Medicago truncatula: one gene and its partner. The protein of the gene in region 2 binds, or shares a complex with, the protein of the main gene of each other region. Links are inferred from orthologs where the notes say so. Each region holds a gene or a part of one and is shown on either strand. Other genes may lie near its edges.

Region 1 (7,170 bases), on a different chromosome or scaffold from region 2:
TTTATTCATTATTTTTTTACTTAAAAATATCATTAGTCCCTGCACTTTCAACATTTTTTTATATTAGTCCCTGCACTTTGATATTAGTCCTTGAACTTTTTTTATTTTTAAATACTTTCAATAAAATTATTATGTTTTAATTATTGTTTTGTTCATTATTTTTATTGAGAATGATCATAAAAAAATAAAATCAAAAAATCTTTGTTTTTTCAAGAATCTAATCACATATCGTTGCGACTCTCAGTGAAGAAATTTGTTTTTTCAAATCAATTATTTAATCAACTTAAAAAATTGTAATTTGTTAAGTATTTTACCTTTTTTTTGTATATAAATGCTACATTCTTCTTTTCTTTTAGGAATTTGTCTCAAAATTAAGTTTGTTTTTTTCTTTTTGTCAAGTAGTCTAGTGGTTAAATAAATTCACCGTAAAGATGAATAAGTGAAGTGTCCGAGATTCAAACACCGGCCCCTGCACATATTGTATATTTTCCCTTGCCAAATGAGCTAAGCTCATGGGGATAAATTAAGTTTGTTTCTATTCCAAAGAAAATCTACTTACAAATATCCAAGAACTACTCGTTGTATATATCTTCCATATCTAACAAAATTACATATTGCGTATGAAAAGCAAACAATCTCTAAACAATTAGGTTTAGAAAAATGTTACATCGACATCATTTATTTTCATACACCCTTGTACACCCCATGCAGTAGGAAGAGGGAAGAGAAGATAAAAGAGAAAGTGTGCTTGTGTGGGGTCCACATGACCGTGTCAGATTTTTGTGTGGGTGTCAAGGGTTGTATTGCCACCTAAGGATGTTTATGTATCATTTTTCTTAGGTTTAAGGCTTTAGGTTACTCACGCCTAATAGCTTAGATACTTAAGCAAAGAGAATAGAGTTTAAGATAATTAAAATGATTAGACAAGTATTGCCACCTAAGGATGTATATGTATCATTTCTCTTAGGTTTAAGGCTTTAGGTTACTCACACCTAATAGCTTAGATACTTAAGCAAAGAGAATAGAGGTTAACTCCCTCTGTTCCTTTATATGTGTCGCTTTTGCCCAATTTGCTACAACCAAGGCAGGGCATAACTAGCTCTCTTTTTCCCTTTCTACCCTTAATACTATCATTAGTGTAACTTTTCCTTGGTACTCCACGTTCAACAGAGATGTTACTCGAAATGCATTGCTTTTATCAATCAACCGTTCAACTTAAATGCATGGCTCACATTTTTTTGACAAACGCATGGGAAGCCCAAAAGCCAAATCCCAAAACAAACTATCAATAAAAGTAATCACACGTACTTCAATTTTTTTTCTTCTTTTGTTTCTGAATTTTTAAAAGGAGTAACAAATCAACCTTGTCTCCAACTTAATTTTTTGTTTGAACTTCCCTCCAACTTTTTTAATCAAAATTTATCCCTCCCACCAAATAAAAAGTAAAATCACCAATAGTTGAAGTATATATATGGCAATTTGCAGATTTTATAACTCATCAAATATGGCATCAAACATTAGTATATTTTCATTATGTGATATAGATTTAAATGTTGAATTTACACCTTTGTTAGATCTTAATTTTGATGCAGAAGTAATCTTTTCTCATGAAGAGGCTGAAGAGTTCAGCAATGATATTGGTATTGTATTTGTTCATTTATGTGCATTTAGCTTTGTCACCTTTGTTACACTACTAAAGTTTTCTTATTCTTCATTTTTCTTTAACGTGTATGAATGCTGAGACAAAGTCTTTAGTCATGATTTCTTCCTTAGAGTAAATAGTCAGTTACCCCCCGAAATTATAAGTTTCGTCAATTACCCCCTTGAAATTAACAAAACTTAAATTACCCCCCTGAAATTGCACAACGTTAATCAATTTACCCCTATGTCAAATTTTTCTGTTAGTCAACATAACGTTTTGCAAATACTCCCCCTGAAGTTTTGCACTTATGTGCAAAATGCCCCCTAAACTTGAAAATTTATATTTTGTTTTCTTATCCTTAAAAGTGATTGTATTATCACTGAATTTTGGAGCATATTAGCTAAGTTTTGACGATATACAACCATATATTGACAGTATTGTAGAATAAATTAGCAGTATTTGATAAATCCTACAATAATGTTCAAAACTCAAGAATATTTACAAAACAAACATAAAAATATTTCTTTGTTCCAACATCAGATGTTTTTTCTTTTTCAAGTTGTCCTTAACCCCATCAGAGATCAAAAGGATGGTGGCTATCATGTTTTTTTTATTCTCTTAAAAAAAACATAATGAAATATACATAATATAATATTATTACATGGTTAATGTTTGATCGTTTAAAGGAACATATATGGTTGTATACCGTCAAAACTTAGCTAATATGCTCCACAATTTAGTGATAATGCAGTCACTTTTAAGGATAGGAAAAAAATATATAATTTTTCAAGTTCAGAGGACATTTTGCACATAAGTACAAAACTTCAGGGGGGGTATTTGCAAAACGTCATGTTAACTAACAGAAAAATTTGACGGAGGGGGTAAATTGATCAACGTTGTGCAATTTCAGGGGGGGTAATTGAAGTTTTGTTAATTTCAAGGGAATAATTGACGAAACTTACAATTTCAGGGGATAATTGACTATTTACTCCTTCCTTATTATTTGTTCATTTATTGTCCAAATCATGGAGTATTCTCTTTAGCTTATTTGTTCATGTACGTGTACTCTCGAGTTATTTTCTTTAGTTCAATGATCCTTCCTCTGTTTTTCTTTCATTGTTGTACAATGAACCTTCCACTTTTTTTCTTCATTGCTTATCAAAGCAATTTCTTGTTTCATGGATATTTCCTTTTTCATGTTCATACGTTGGGTGTTTTTTTTTCTTGGAATAACATAAGCATGGTTAGTGTACTGTACATATTAAAAGTGAAATAGTTGTGGAGCTCTATGTATTGGAACAATGAAGAGTGGGTTTATTGCATTTATTAGCTGAAAGAATTTTTGTAGTCTCGATAAAAATGTGTCTGATGGAGTAGAGGAATTGGATTAGGCTAAATGATACTGTGCAATATATGTGTCTGATTTAGTAATTGAGAGGTTAAGGGTATAATTGACATATTACAATCTTAAACTCTAAAAGTGATACTTAAGCAGGAACAATTTTTTTAGCAAATGTGACACTTAAGAAGGAACGGATGGAGTATTATCTAATTAAATTGACCCATTTTATTTTTCAATACAATAATAATTTTTTTTTTCAATTATAACTCTAATTAATACCACTTTCATCACTTTTAATTTAATATATTCTACTTTGCATTTATAATAAGGAAGATTGCACTAATACTTAATAAGACATTCAAAATTATTTTTCTTTCTCTTTCAATTATACATTTTTTTAATATATATGAAACGAAAAAAGAAATTCATTTAAAATGTGACGGAGGGAGTATTAAATAGCTTATTACAATCCTATACAAATCATAAAATATCTCATCATTTAAATGATATATTTATATTTATCTAAAAAAATAGATAAAAAAAATTTCGGACACAAGATATCAAAATTGTGTGTCGACATATAAGTGAATCAAAAGAAAAATCCAATCATGTTTTTTCTTCCAAAAAAATCCAAGTATGTCAAATGAACAAAAACGTTCATCTTCCCTTCCTTCTATTTCCACTGGTTCATCAGTACACGTGCAAATTCCTCAATCTCACATGAATCTTCGCTCAATCTTTCTCTCTCTTCCCTTATCTCTCTCATACACAATCCAAAACCACCGTCACGACACGTGATCCATCACTTTCCAACACGTGTCATCCTTTCACATATTCACCAATCTTTCAGCATCGCATTTTCTGGTATCTTCACGCGTAACACATATCTCACCGTTCATTTCTTCAACCAATCACACCATCTCCACCGTTCCTGTACTCTACCGTCCATCATTCCTCCACGCAACACTCTTACGCGTGTCACTTAACCAACGGTCATATCAAAAATATTAATTTTTTTTATCTTATCTTCAACCCCCCTCCCTTTCCTTATAAACTCTCATCTCTGCTTCTTTCTTTCCATTTCTAATACCCGTGTCCAGCAAAGTAAAACACAAGACAATTTTTCATACACTTTTTCAAATTTCTGCTATACATTTTCTTCCAATTCTTTCAAGTTTGATGGCCTTGAACATGACTCAGATTGGCAGTCTCGTCGGAACACCGATACCGATTGAATCAACATCAACAGAGCCAACAACAGCTTCCATGAACGCAGCAGCAGTATGGAAAACACCAGCAACGAATCTACGTTGTCAAGTAACTCGATCAGAAGTTATAGAAAACGGATTATCACCACCTATGAGTCCATGTAGATCACCGGTACTAAGCGGTACCGGAATCAGACCAGATCTGACATCGGCTGCTCAAGCATTTACCACTGAGGTGGAGAACGAATATGTATCGGGAGGGAAGACGAAGAAAGAGAAGAGTGGAGTCCCGGTGTATGTGATGATGCCGTTAGATAGTGTGACGATGGGGAATGGTGTGAATAGGAAGAAGGCGGTGAATGCGGCGATGGCGGCGTTGAAGAGTGCTGGAGTGGAAGGAGTGATGATGGATGTGTGGTGGGGATTGGTGGAGAGGGAGAAGCCAGGAGAGTATAATTGGGGTGGGTATATGGAGCTTATGGAAATGGCGAAGAAACATGGGCTTAAAGTTCAGGCGGTTATGTCTTTTCATCAATGTGGTGGTAACGTCGGTGATTCCGTCACGTGAGTCTCTTTCTTCATCCTCTTTTAGAATAAAAATAATTGTTGTTATTTAATTTAATTAATATTTGCTAACTATGCCAGTAGATGATAATTATATTTAAATTTTTAGTTTAATTGATAATGGCTAGGATGAGGATAGCAACCATGTTAAGAGAATATAGGAGAGAACACTCCACTTAATTCTATTTTATCATGAAAATATTTTAGAAACAAATATAACATAGTCCACCTTACATGTTTTGTGACAATAATGTGTTAATTTTTTTATGAAATTTGGAATTTGAAAACTTTTGTATAAAATTTGTTTTTAGTACAATTTTTTTTTTTGCAATAATTTAGTACTAATTAATGTATTTTCATTTGATTTATTATTTTTAATTTTAAGGCATTAATTTATTTTAGACATTAATGAGAATTTTATATTGTCACTCAATTATAACCAAAGTAACATTGAAAATATTTGACTTTAATCATAATTACATATAAAATTGTTGTTTGACTTTAGCAATAATTGATTATAAAATCGCACTAATTTGATTTAAGGTATTAATTTGAATTGTGATTATGATTTGTGGATCATGTAAAAAATTTACACCCATTTTGTTTATCAAAATAAAATAAAGTGTGCCTTTACAAAGTCCTAATTAAAAATTCAAAACTAAATGTTTAGAATTTTATTTTTTAAAATTAATTTTAGTGTCTGAATATGTTCGGTTCTACGTTGATAACAATTCATTTAGTCAAACCTCTAGAGTTAGCCACATATGATAAGAATTTATTTAGCACAACCTCTAGAAATAGCCAAATATTATAAGATCAATTTACAATTTCTACAACCAATTTCGGAAAAAATTGAAAAAGAAAAAAAATAGTGTTATAGACGTTCTCGTTTTAGCACTCTTTTATTTTTTATTAGGTGAAATTTATGTGGATCTTATATTTTGAAAATGGATCTCACATAAAGAGGTGAGACTTACATAATTTTTTACATAAAAGTTAATGTTTAAAGAGTTTTAGAAGGAGAGTGTTATTAGCATTTCTCATTAAACTAATCATACACTTAATTAGAAGGAAATTTAGTACTCCCTCCGTCCCTAAATAAGTGACCTATTTGACCATTTTACACAGATTAAGAAAAGTGTAAAGATGAAAGAAAGAGAGTGATACTTTTACTGGGTTGCCCTTGTCATTATTTTGAAACTTTTTCACTTTTAAGTAATGATTATTTTTTTTGTTCCACTACAAACTTTAACATGGGGACCACAAAAAGTATTTATAAGGGGTAAATCTGTCAAATTTTGCCTAGAAATCTGAGAAGGTCAAGTATTGTGGGATAAATATTTTTTACAAATAAGTCACTTATTCAGAGACGGAGGGAGTACCACCCAATTGTTTTTTGGGTCTTGCTAACCAATGCCTTCAGGCAATGGTTAAGGAAACAAAAAATAGTAATTTTACATTGAAAACTACAATTTTCAAACTTTTAAAAAGTTGAATTCATCACTTTTTACTACTTTCCAACACAATATTTTTATTATTGTTCTCTTAACCAATGCCCTGAAGGCACTATTTAACATTTGCCTTGTTTTTTAGTTTTTGAGATATCTCAAATTAGATTATAGTTGTAGCAAGAAAAAAGTTTCAATGAAAACATATTATAGTTGTAGCAAGAAAAAAGTTTCAATGAAAACATATTTGATGTGGTATACCAGTCCGAGAAAGTGTTTTGGTAGATAAATAATCAACTTGTTGAATGGAATATACGGATATTATTACACGGCCTTTGATGATGATTTTTATAATTCTTAGTTATGCTAATGCTCCCTCCGTTTTTTAAATATAAGTAAAATTGACTTTTAAGGTTCATTCATTTAATGATGTATGTGGTTTAAAAGTCAATTTTGCTTATATTTAAAGACGGAGGGTGTATAATTTTTCATACATTAGTCGAATCTGATGTGAGTTTAAAGCTAAAAATGAATGAATTTAAAGTGTGTGGTTTTGTGTGAAGATGAGCTTGCCATGTGTTTCGGGGTTGGACTTTGTATTTTATTTTTTTTTTGCTTCTAAACTTGGTTTTGCTTTTCTTTAGAAGGGAAAAGACTTCACTGGGAAAAAGTAGTTGGAACTTGGAATTGAATCTTGAAAATTGCTGTATTTTGAAATATTATATAAATGTTAATTACATTTCATTTCACGATTTTTCTTTATTGTAGTATTTTGACATTCTTTTTAAACTAGTGATAAAATTATTTTCAATATCCTAACTCAATTGACAAAATATTAAAATTGTTAGGCTGAATAGTATGATCAAGATTCGAATCTTGACCCCTCGCCCTCCCCTCCGCTTGTGTGTATGATTGAATTTCAATGGTTATTTATTATTTTGTCTATTTATTATTTACGTAAAAATT
Region 2 (7,002 bases):
CACGATCTAGAGCCTGAATATATTCCTCAAGTGGAAAACTTCCGTGAGCCCAATCTCCATCTCTACTCGCTTCGTCAGTGAAAACGCAAGCAAGTTGTATTGTTTGTTCAGTTAAGGAATTTCTTTCACCGTGGGTGATGGCATGTTGATTTTGATTGCTCAATAACTTGCTTCCATTTGAATTAAGAAACTTTGAGTTGAACGTCGAAAATCCAGAATTCCCACAGCTATCACTAGATGGTTGTAAATTTGATGCTAATAGTGTCTTGTTCCATGTGACAACAGGAACTCGACCTCTATTATATACTATTTCAAGATCATTCGTCTTATTATGCAGCAGTTGAATGGGAAATGTAGATGCGGGCCTCTCAAGAACCAAGCTAAAAGAACTTGTTTGCTCCTTTAGCACCTTCCTGAGGAAACCAAAAGACTGAAAAAAATGAAAACAAAACACTGATGAACAGAATAGATTATGATGATGATGGGAGAGCAACTTTGAGTCATTTCACCCAAAAGAAAAAACTTTGCATCTTTCTATAATATCTTACAACAGAGGGCCAATCTAGTACTTTTTTTCTTACTGCTATAAATCATAATTAATCAATTCTAGGTACTATAAACCAACTCTTGCACATGTTTTAAGTTTAGATAAAGACTTGCTACAACCCCAAATGATAATGTGGGCCCAAATGGGCAATTAGTACATTAGCTGCCCAAGATCATTCTGATGAGGCAAAGAGAAAATGATCATTTCGTGTTATGGATTGTTGTTATAATAGAAGGTGAACAGGTGAAAGGGGGAGGGGTATCTGGGAGAATCATTGAGTTAGTTGTGGGCAGAGAGAGACCATTTGTTCTTTAAAGGAGATTAGCTTTTGGCAGTAGAAATGTGCATGCCTCAGTAATCTCTTTCTTAGAATTTGGGTTGGGCTTCATTCATTCTTACAAATCCAGCTTGTAAGATGAGGATTGCCCCCACTTATAAACTGATGTTTAGGACACATTTCATCTAGTGTTCGAGACAAGAACACCGCATCACAATAGACAGCTACAATATAGTCAAAGTAATATTCGGACTTGGGATGAAGTAGTAAGGGAATTATCTCTTTTCATTTTAAGTAGCAAAAATTTCTTAAATGAGACTTTTTTAAAAGATTATTTGTTAGCATTTCAGTAATTGGCTAAATATTTCTCAGCAATAAAAAATTAATGAGATAAATATATTTTTAACTCATAATCATCTCAGAATTTTGTTTTTAGTATACTTACTTTTCAGTCTCAGCTATACAAAGTTGCATGTTTTTAGTCCCTAATTTATAGACACTAAAATTTGAAAACACATTAAACCCAAATTAACATAAGTTCACCAACCAAACTTGTCCTAAATCAAAAGAAAAAAACATCAGAACACATACTGTGTATCTCCAACATCTTTAATCTCAACAAGACTATTCTGAGAGGAATCACCGGCTTTCTTCAAAGTGTCACCCACCATAATTATCCTGGACTTCTCCGCATTACCCTACAAAAACAATACAAATCACAACAACAACAACAACAACCAAGCCTTATCCCACTAAGTGGGATCGGCTACATGAATCAAACAATGGCATAATGATTTATCATATACCATATTTCTATCCAAATCATTAATCTCTAAATATTTCTTAATAGTTTCTCTTATAGTTTTTCTAGGTCTTCCTCTAGTGATTTGACTAGTCTTCACTTGATCTACTCTCCTTACTACAGAATTTACGGGTCTTCTCTCTACATGCCCAAACCACCTAAGCATAGTTTCCACCATCTTTTCTTCTATAGGTGCTACTCCAGTTCTCTCCCTCTCTAATGTTCTAATTCTATCTCATCCAGTCTTGCCACACACTCAATGCAACATCTTTATCTCTACTACATTAATTTATTTTCGTGGTGGTGCTTGACAGCCCAACATCTTTATGGGACAAAGTTTGTCCCATAAATCAGTTGTTTGATAAATTTCTCCTTCAACTTGAGTGGTACTTTCGTATCACATAAAACACTTGATGCACTCTCCATTTCAACCATCAGTTGTTCGATAAATTTCTCCTTCAACTTGAGTGGTATTTTCGTATCACATAAAACACTTGATGCACTCTCCATTTCAACCACCCAACTTGAATTCAATGGATTACATCTCATATTACTTCTCCGACATTTTGTACTATGATCTAAACTATTTTAACCGTGTAAATTGTGGTAAACACAAATCACAAAAAATAAAAATGAATCATTGATTGTGCACAACACGCAACGAGGTTACTCGCTCTATATCATTATAAGTGTCTCATTTGCAATGTTTCTCAATAAAACATAAGTTATTTTTTCACTAATTTACCCTTTTTTTTTTATCTCAGTCCACAAAATTACTCCACTAGTAGATAAAATTCATTTTATCATTGAAATCACTGCAGAATTTTGAACAAATGAAATGAGATACTTATAATGAGAGAGTGAATACTTTACTAACCCCTTTGGCGAGAGAGTGAACAATGATTTTCCCATCAGAAGTAAGAGCAAACCGAATCCCAAGAGGCTTATCAAGAGTAACAAGATACTCATTGAGGTTCATCTTGAATGCAGAGTCATTATCACCAGACATTGCAAAAACCCTATAGTTTTTTAGCGTTCTAACATTATACCGAAAAAGATGGTGCTTGTTGTAGAAGAGTGAGAGAGAGGTGGGAGAGAATGAAGAAATGTTACTGGTGCGAAGGAGTTGAGGTGAAGGAAGATGGTGGATATTGAATTGGAGAGAAAGCATGGTTGTGGAAGAGAAGAGAAGAGAAGAGAAGAGAAGAGAAAAAGTGGATTTTACTGTTAAGCGTTGATTATGGAAGTGAAGAAGTGAAGCATGTGAGTTTTGAGGAAGACAGAACAGAAGACACGGCACGGGGAGATTGGGGTCAACAAACAGCATGTGAGGTGAGTGTCTTTTTGGACAGATTCCAATGTCTCCGTCTGGTTTCTAAACGGTAGTTTACTAAATTACACTACTAATAGCCAAAACTACCAAGCAAGTTAGAGTATCATGTCGGTAAGTACAACTAATTGTTCTTATTTGGTTTGTACTCGACGAAAATTGATTTTGATAGAATTGAGTTTGAGATAATTGATTTTCGTTATAAGTGAGTTGAATGTAGATTGATTTATGTTTGTTTGCATACATTTTATTAGAAATAATTCTTATGAGTCTCATAAGTCCTAGCTCAACTGGTAAAAATGCCGAAATTGTTGGCCGGACATCATGATCAGAGTTCGAACCCCAATACTTTCATTCTGTATGTGTGAGTTTATGATAGTTTTGTCATCTCTTCTATCTACCAAAAAAAAAAAAGTAATTATTATGAGTTAATGTTGTTTGGATAGTTTGAGTCAACAATTTTGAATGTGTAATGATCAAACTATCATTTTAAAAGAAAATATCACATTCTTATTAGATAATTATTTCAGCTTATCATGCATGGATTTTATTGGTTCCAAAATTCATTTTAAAATAATATTAATTTATAAGAGTTATTTTAATAATAATTTTTTTATCAATTGGATGATTTTTAATATAATACTATAAGCATAAAAAGATGTAAAAAAATGATAAATTATACAATTGTAAACGAAGAAAATATATATATATATATATATTCTTAATACATAATCATAAATTTCTAAATTCTCAAGTGCAATATAATATCGAAAGATTATTCCAAACTAATTATTGGGGGGTGTATTGGATTAGGATTTTAAAGGACAATTTTTGCTTAAAAAAGTCTTGAAGATTTTAAAAGAAATGATTACAACACACTCTCTATCATAACATTCTCAATACAGACTATTATTTTAAGAGAGAGGAGGGAAGAGAGGAGAGAGAGAGAGAGAGAGAGAGAGAGAGAAGAGAGATAGTAAAATTTTAAAAGAAAAACAATCTCAAGAAATCTCATGAAAAAAGACTTTTTCTTACTAAAATTTCACTAGAAAATCCCACAAAATCCATCAAAATCTAATTTATTAAACAATCCTTCGAAATTTGAATGATTTTGGATACCACGAGACTTTTTTTAAGTAATGAAAAATCTTGATTGAATATCTCAAGACTTTTTTAAAATGACAAAGAGTCTTGATTGAATACCACAAGACTTTTTTTAAGTTGCAAAGAGTCTTGATTGAGTACCACAAGACTTTTTCGTAATTAAAAAGTCTTTTAAAATCTCTAGAATCCTAATCCAATACATCTCGTTATGCTTTATAATTTGATCACGAATTGAGTTTCGAGCATGATCCATTTTTGAAGAAGAAGCTACATTCAAACTTTGTAATTGATCTAAGTTAGTTGAACTTTGTAATTTCATCTTCTAATAAAGTTGTGTATTGTCGTTGTTGAGACAACTATTTAAACTTACGTCTCATATTTGAACTTCAGCATGCGACGCAGAATTGCAAATCTATTCTTCCATACCCCAAAAGTTCTTTCAATTGTGAATTTTAAACTTGAGTGGTAGTAATTGAATACTTCGTTATGATTTTCGAACCGACTTGAACGCCTAAAATTAGGAAGATGATAACGTTTATATCTATAGGGACCAATGTACCCTATTGGTGTTGGATAATCATAATTCACCAAGTATTACTTACCTAAAAACATAGTAATTATTAAAATATGACAACCATTTAATTGTTAATATAACAAATCATATCCAATAAGACAATATAACATACCTTGAGGAGGATGCGGAAAGTTAAGGTTAGTATTTGTCAAAAACACGAGTATCATGGACAGGGGCGGAGCTACATTAACTTTAGGGGATTCAAATGAACCCTCTCACTTTTTCAAATTACCGCTATTTGTTATGTTATTTTAATACTTGAACCCCCTCAAATTTGTTGTTCAAACCCAATATCTCACCTCTTTGTAAAGAAAGTTGTGCAGTGCACCTCTATATTGGAATTTTTGGCAGTTAAAGTTGCACACAATGCAATCTATAGTTCAATATCAGCTAGTTGGGCAAACTACAAAGTAAAAATACACTGCTTTATCTTTTTCTTTTTTACAAAAATACACTACTTTATCTAGTAATTGGAGTTACTAATATTTTTGGGTGGGGTTTAGCATGCATAAGGAAAAGATTTGTGCACCATGCAAAAGTTGTGCATATAAGAGCTGAAAGCAATTCTGAACCATTGATATATTAATATTAAATTCAAACGGTCAGGATCTGTTGGCAAAGTGGGAGAGGTTACATGCTGCCATCAAATTGCTTTTGTGCAGGCGGGTCCCACGCGTGGAATAAATCTGAGTATTTAAATGGTTTTTTTGGCAAATGTTCTATTAGGCTTATATAGCAAAATCAGGCCCAATCTTAATATTTATTCCTTCTATGTTATATTAATTTACTATTAATGATTGATAATATTTACTCCTGACATTATTAATTAACAAAGTATTTCTTCTATGTTCATTAATATACTGTTAATGATAATAAATTAAAATATTAAAAATTAAACCCATTCCATTGTCCTGGTTAAATTTATTCCTTTTGATTGAATTTATGTTAGTAGAAAAATTGATGTTAAGGTCAATAAAATTTCTTGTGCTGCCACTTTAATTTAATGTGCTGCCACTAAAATTTTCAAGCATTACACAATTGGCTTTTTGAATAAAAATAAATGGGAAAATACACATGTGGCATGACACCTCCGCGTTGACCTGGTCAAAATTGACCAAAAAGTCTGTTTTGCAAAGGGGCTAAAACATAGGGGTTTAAAATTTAATTTTTTTTAATAGGGGGCCAAAATCGCACCATTGTGAAAGTTAGGGGGTTAAAACTGCAGTTTAGCCTACATTTTATTAGAAATAATTCTTATGAGTCTCATAAGTCCTAACTCAACTAGTAAAAATGTAGAAATTGTTAGGCCGGACATCATGATCGGAGTTCGAACCTCGGTACCTTCAATTTGTGTGTGTGAGTTTATGATGACTTTGTCATCTCTTCTATCTACCAAAAAAAGTAAATATTATGAGTTAATGTTGTTTGGATAGTTTGAAGCAACAAATTTTGAATGTGTAATGATCAAACTATCATTTTAAAAGAAAATATCACATTGTCATTAGATAATTATTTCAGCTTATCATGCATGGATTTTATTCGTTCCAAAATTTATTTTAAAATAATATTAATTTATAAGAGTTATTTTAATAATAATTTTTTATCAATTGGGTGATTTTTAATATAATACTATAAGCATAAAAAGATATAAAAAAAATGATAAATTATACAATTGTAAACGAATATATATATATATATATATATATATATATTCTTAATACATAATCATAAATTTCTAAATTCTCAAGTGCAATATAATATCGAAAGATTATTATAAACTAGGGCTGGAAATTATTCTTTATGAAAATTGGGAAATAATCAAAATGAGACTTCACTCAAAAAAAATTATATGAAATTATATAGTTTTAATGTATATATTAGTGTTTCTTATGATGTTTTAGATGGTGCTACTCAGAAGTTTCTAATAGTTGGATATTGTATTGGACAATGTCACATGAAGTGTGAAGACTGCTAGTAGCCTAATTTGGATGAACCATGATAATTTTTGTATGTGATATTCTTACCCTTAATAGTTTACTATTTGTTTTAAACACCTAACACAATATCACGATCATAAACTTCATTTATAATTTATCCAGAACATTTTGATCATAATAATTATATATGTTTAATATTTAAATTTATCCAGAATATTTTGCTTCTTAATTAATCTTCAATGTTGTTTTATCATTCTACTTCTATATTAATCATACAACTATTATTTAGGGCATTATAGTCGTTGCCTATATTGCTTAAATATTTAACTATAATTTATCATTATGGTCCTTTGATAAAACAATTGCTTAATATATTTAAGACATTCTAATATTATTTGTCTAACTTTTACCAATAATTTTCTTTAGTAAAT

Evidence for each region.
Region 1: the proteins of phosphoglucan phosphatase LSF1, chloroplastic (region 2) and beta-amylase 1, chloroplastic are in contact, whole or in part, in a cryo-EM structure (PDB 8J5D), measured with the Arabidopsis thaliana proteins. The link is inferred for Medicago truncatula from reciprocal best matches to the Arabidopsis thaliana genes LSF1 and BAM1. Residues at the interface, in NP_566139.1 of Arabidopsis thaliana: Met72, Asn73, Leu74, Glu76, Tyr77, Met78, Val79, Arg112, Ile113, Met115, Lys122, Leu131, Arg157, Phe266, Pro267, Glu270, Tyr271, Ala274, Leu275, Arg277, Ser278, Gly280; in NP_189034.1 of Arabidopsis thaliana: Glu208, Asp212, Thr235, Leu236, Pro237, Val238, Lys240, Gly241, Arg242, Thr243, Gln246, Asp250, Arg253, Tyr306, Ser309, Ser310, Lys312, Ala313, Glu316, Thr317, Tyr318, Trp362, Gln365, Met366, Asp369.

Annotation. Positions count from the first base shown.
Region 1 is NC_053047.1:35,874,269-35,881,438, forward strand, and holds the start of beta-amylase 1, chloroplastic, read left to right. Parts: upstream 1-4,163; coding exon 4,164-4,756; intron 4,757-7,170. UniProt on the Arabidopsis thaliana protein: Beta-amylase activity. Can use p-nitrophenyl maltopentaoside (PNPG5) as substrate only in reduced form. Can play a minor role in the starch degradation and maltose metabolism in chloroplasts during the night. More active on phosphorylated glucan.
Region 2 is NC_053048.1:13,234,025-13,241,026, reverse strand, and holds the start of phosphoglucan phosphatase LSF1, chloroplastic, read right to left. Parts: upstream 3,013-7,002; 5' UTR 2,954-3,012; coding exon 2,495-2,953; intron 1,523-2,494; coding exon 1,416-1,522; intron 414-1,415; coding exon 1-413. UniProt on the Arabidopsis thaliana protein: Starch granule-associated phosphoglucan phosphatase involved in the control of starch accumulation. Participates in the regulation of the initial steps of starch degradation at the granule surface.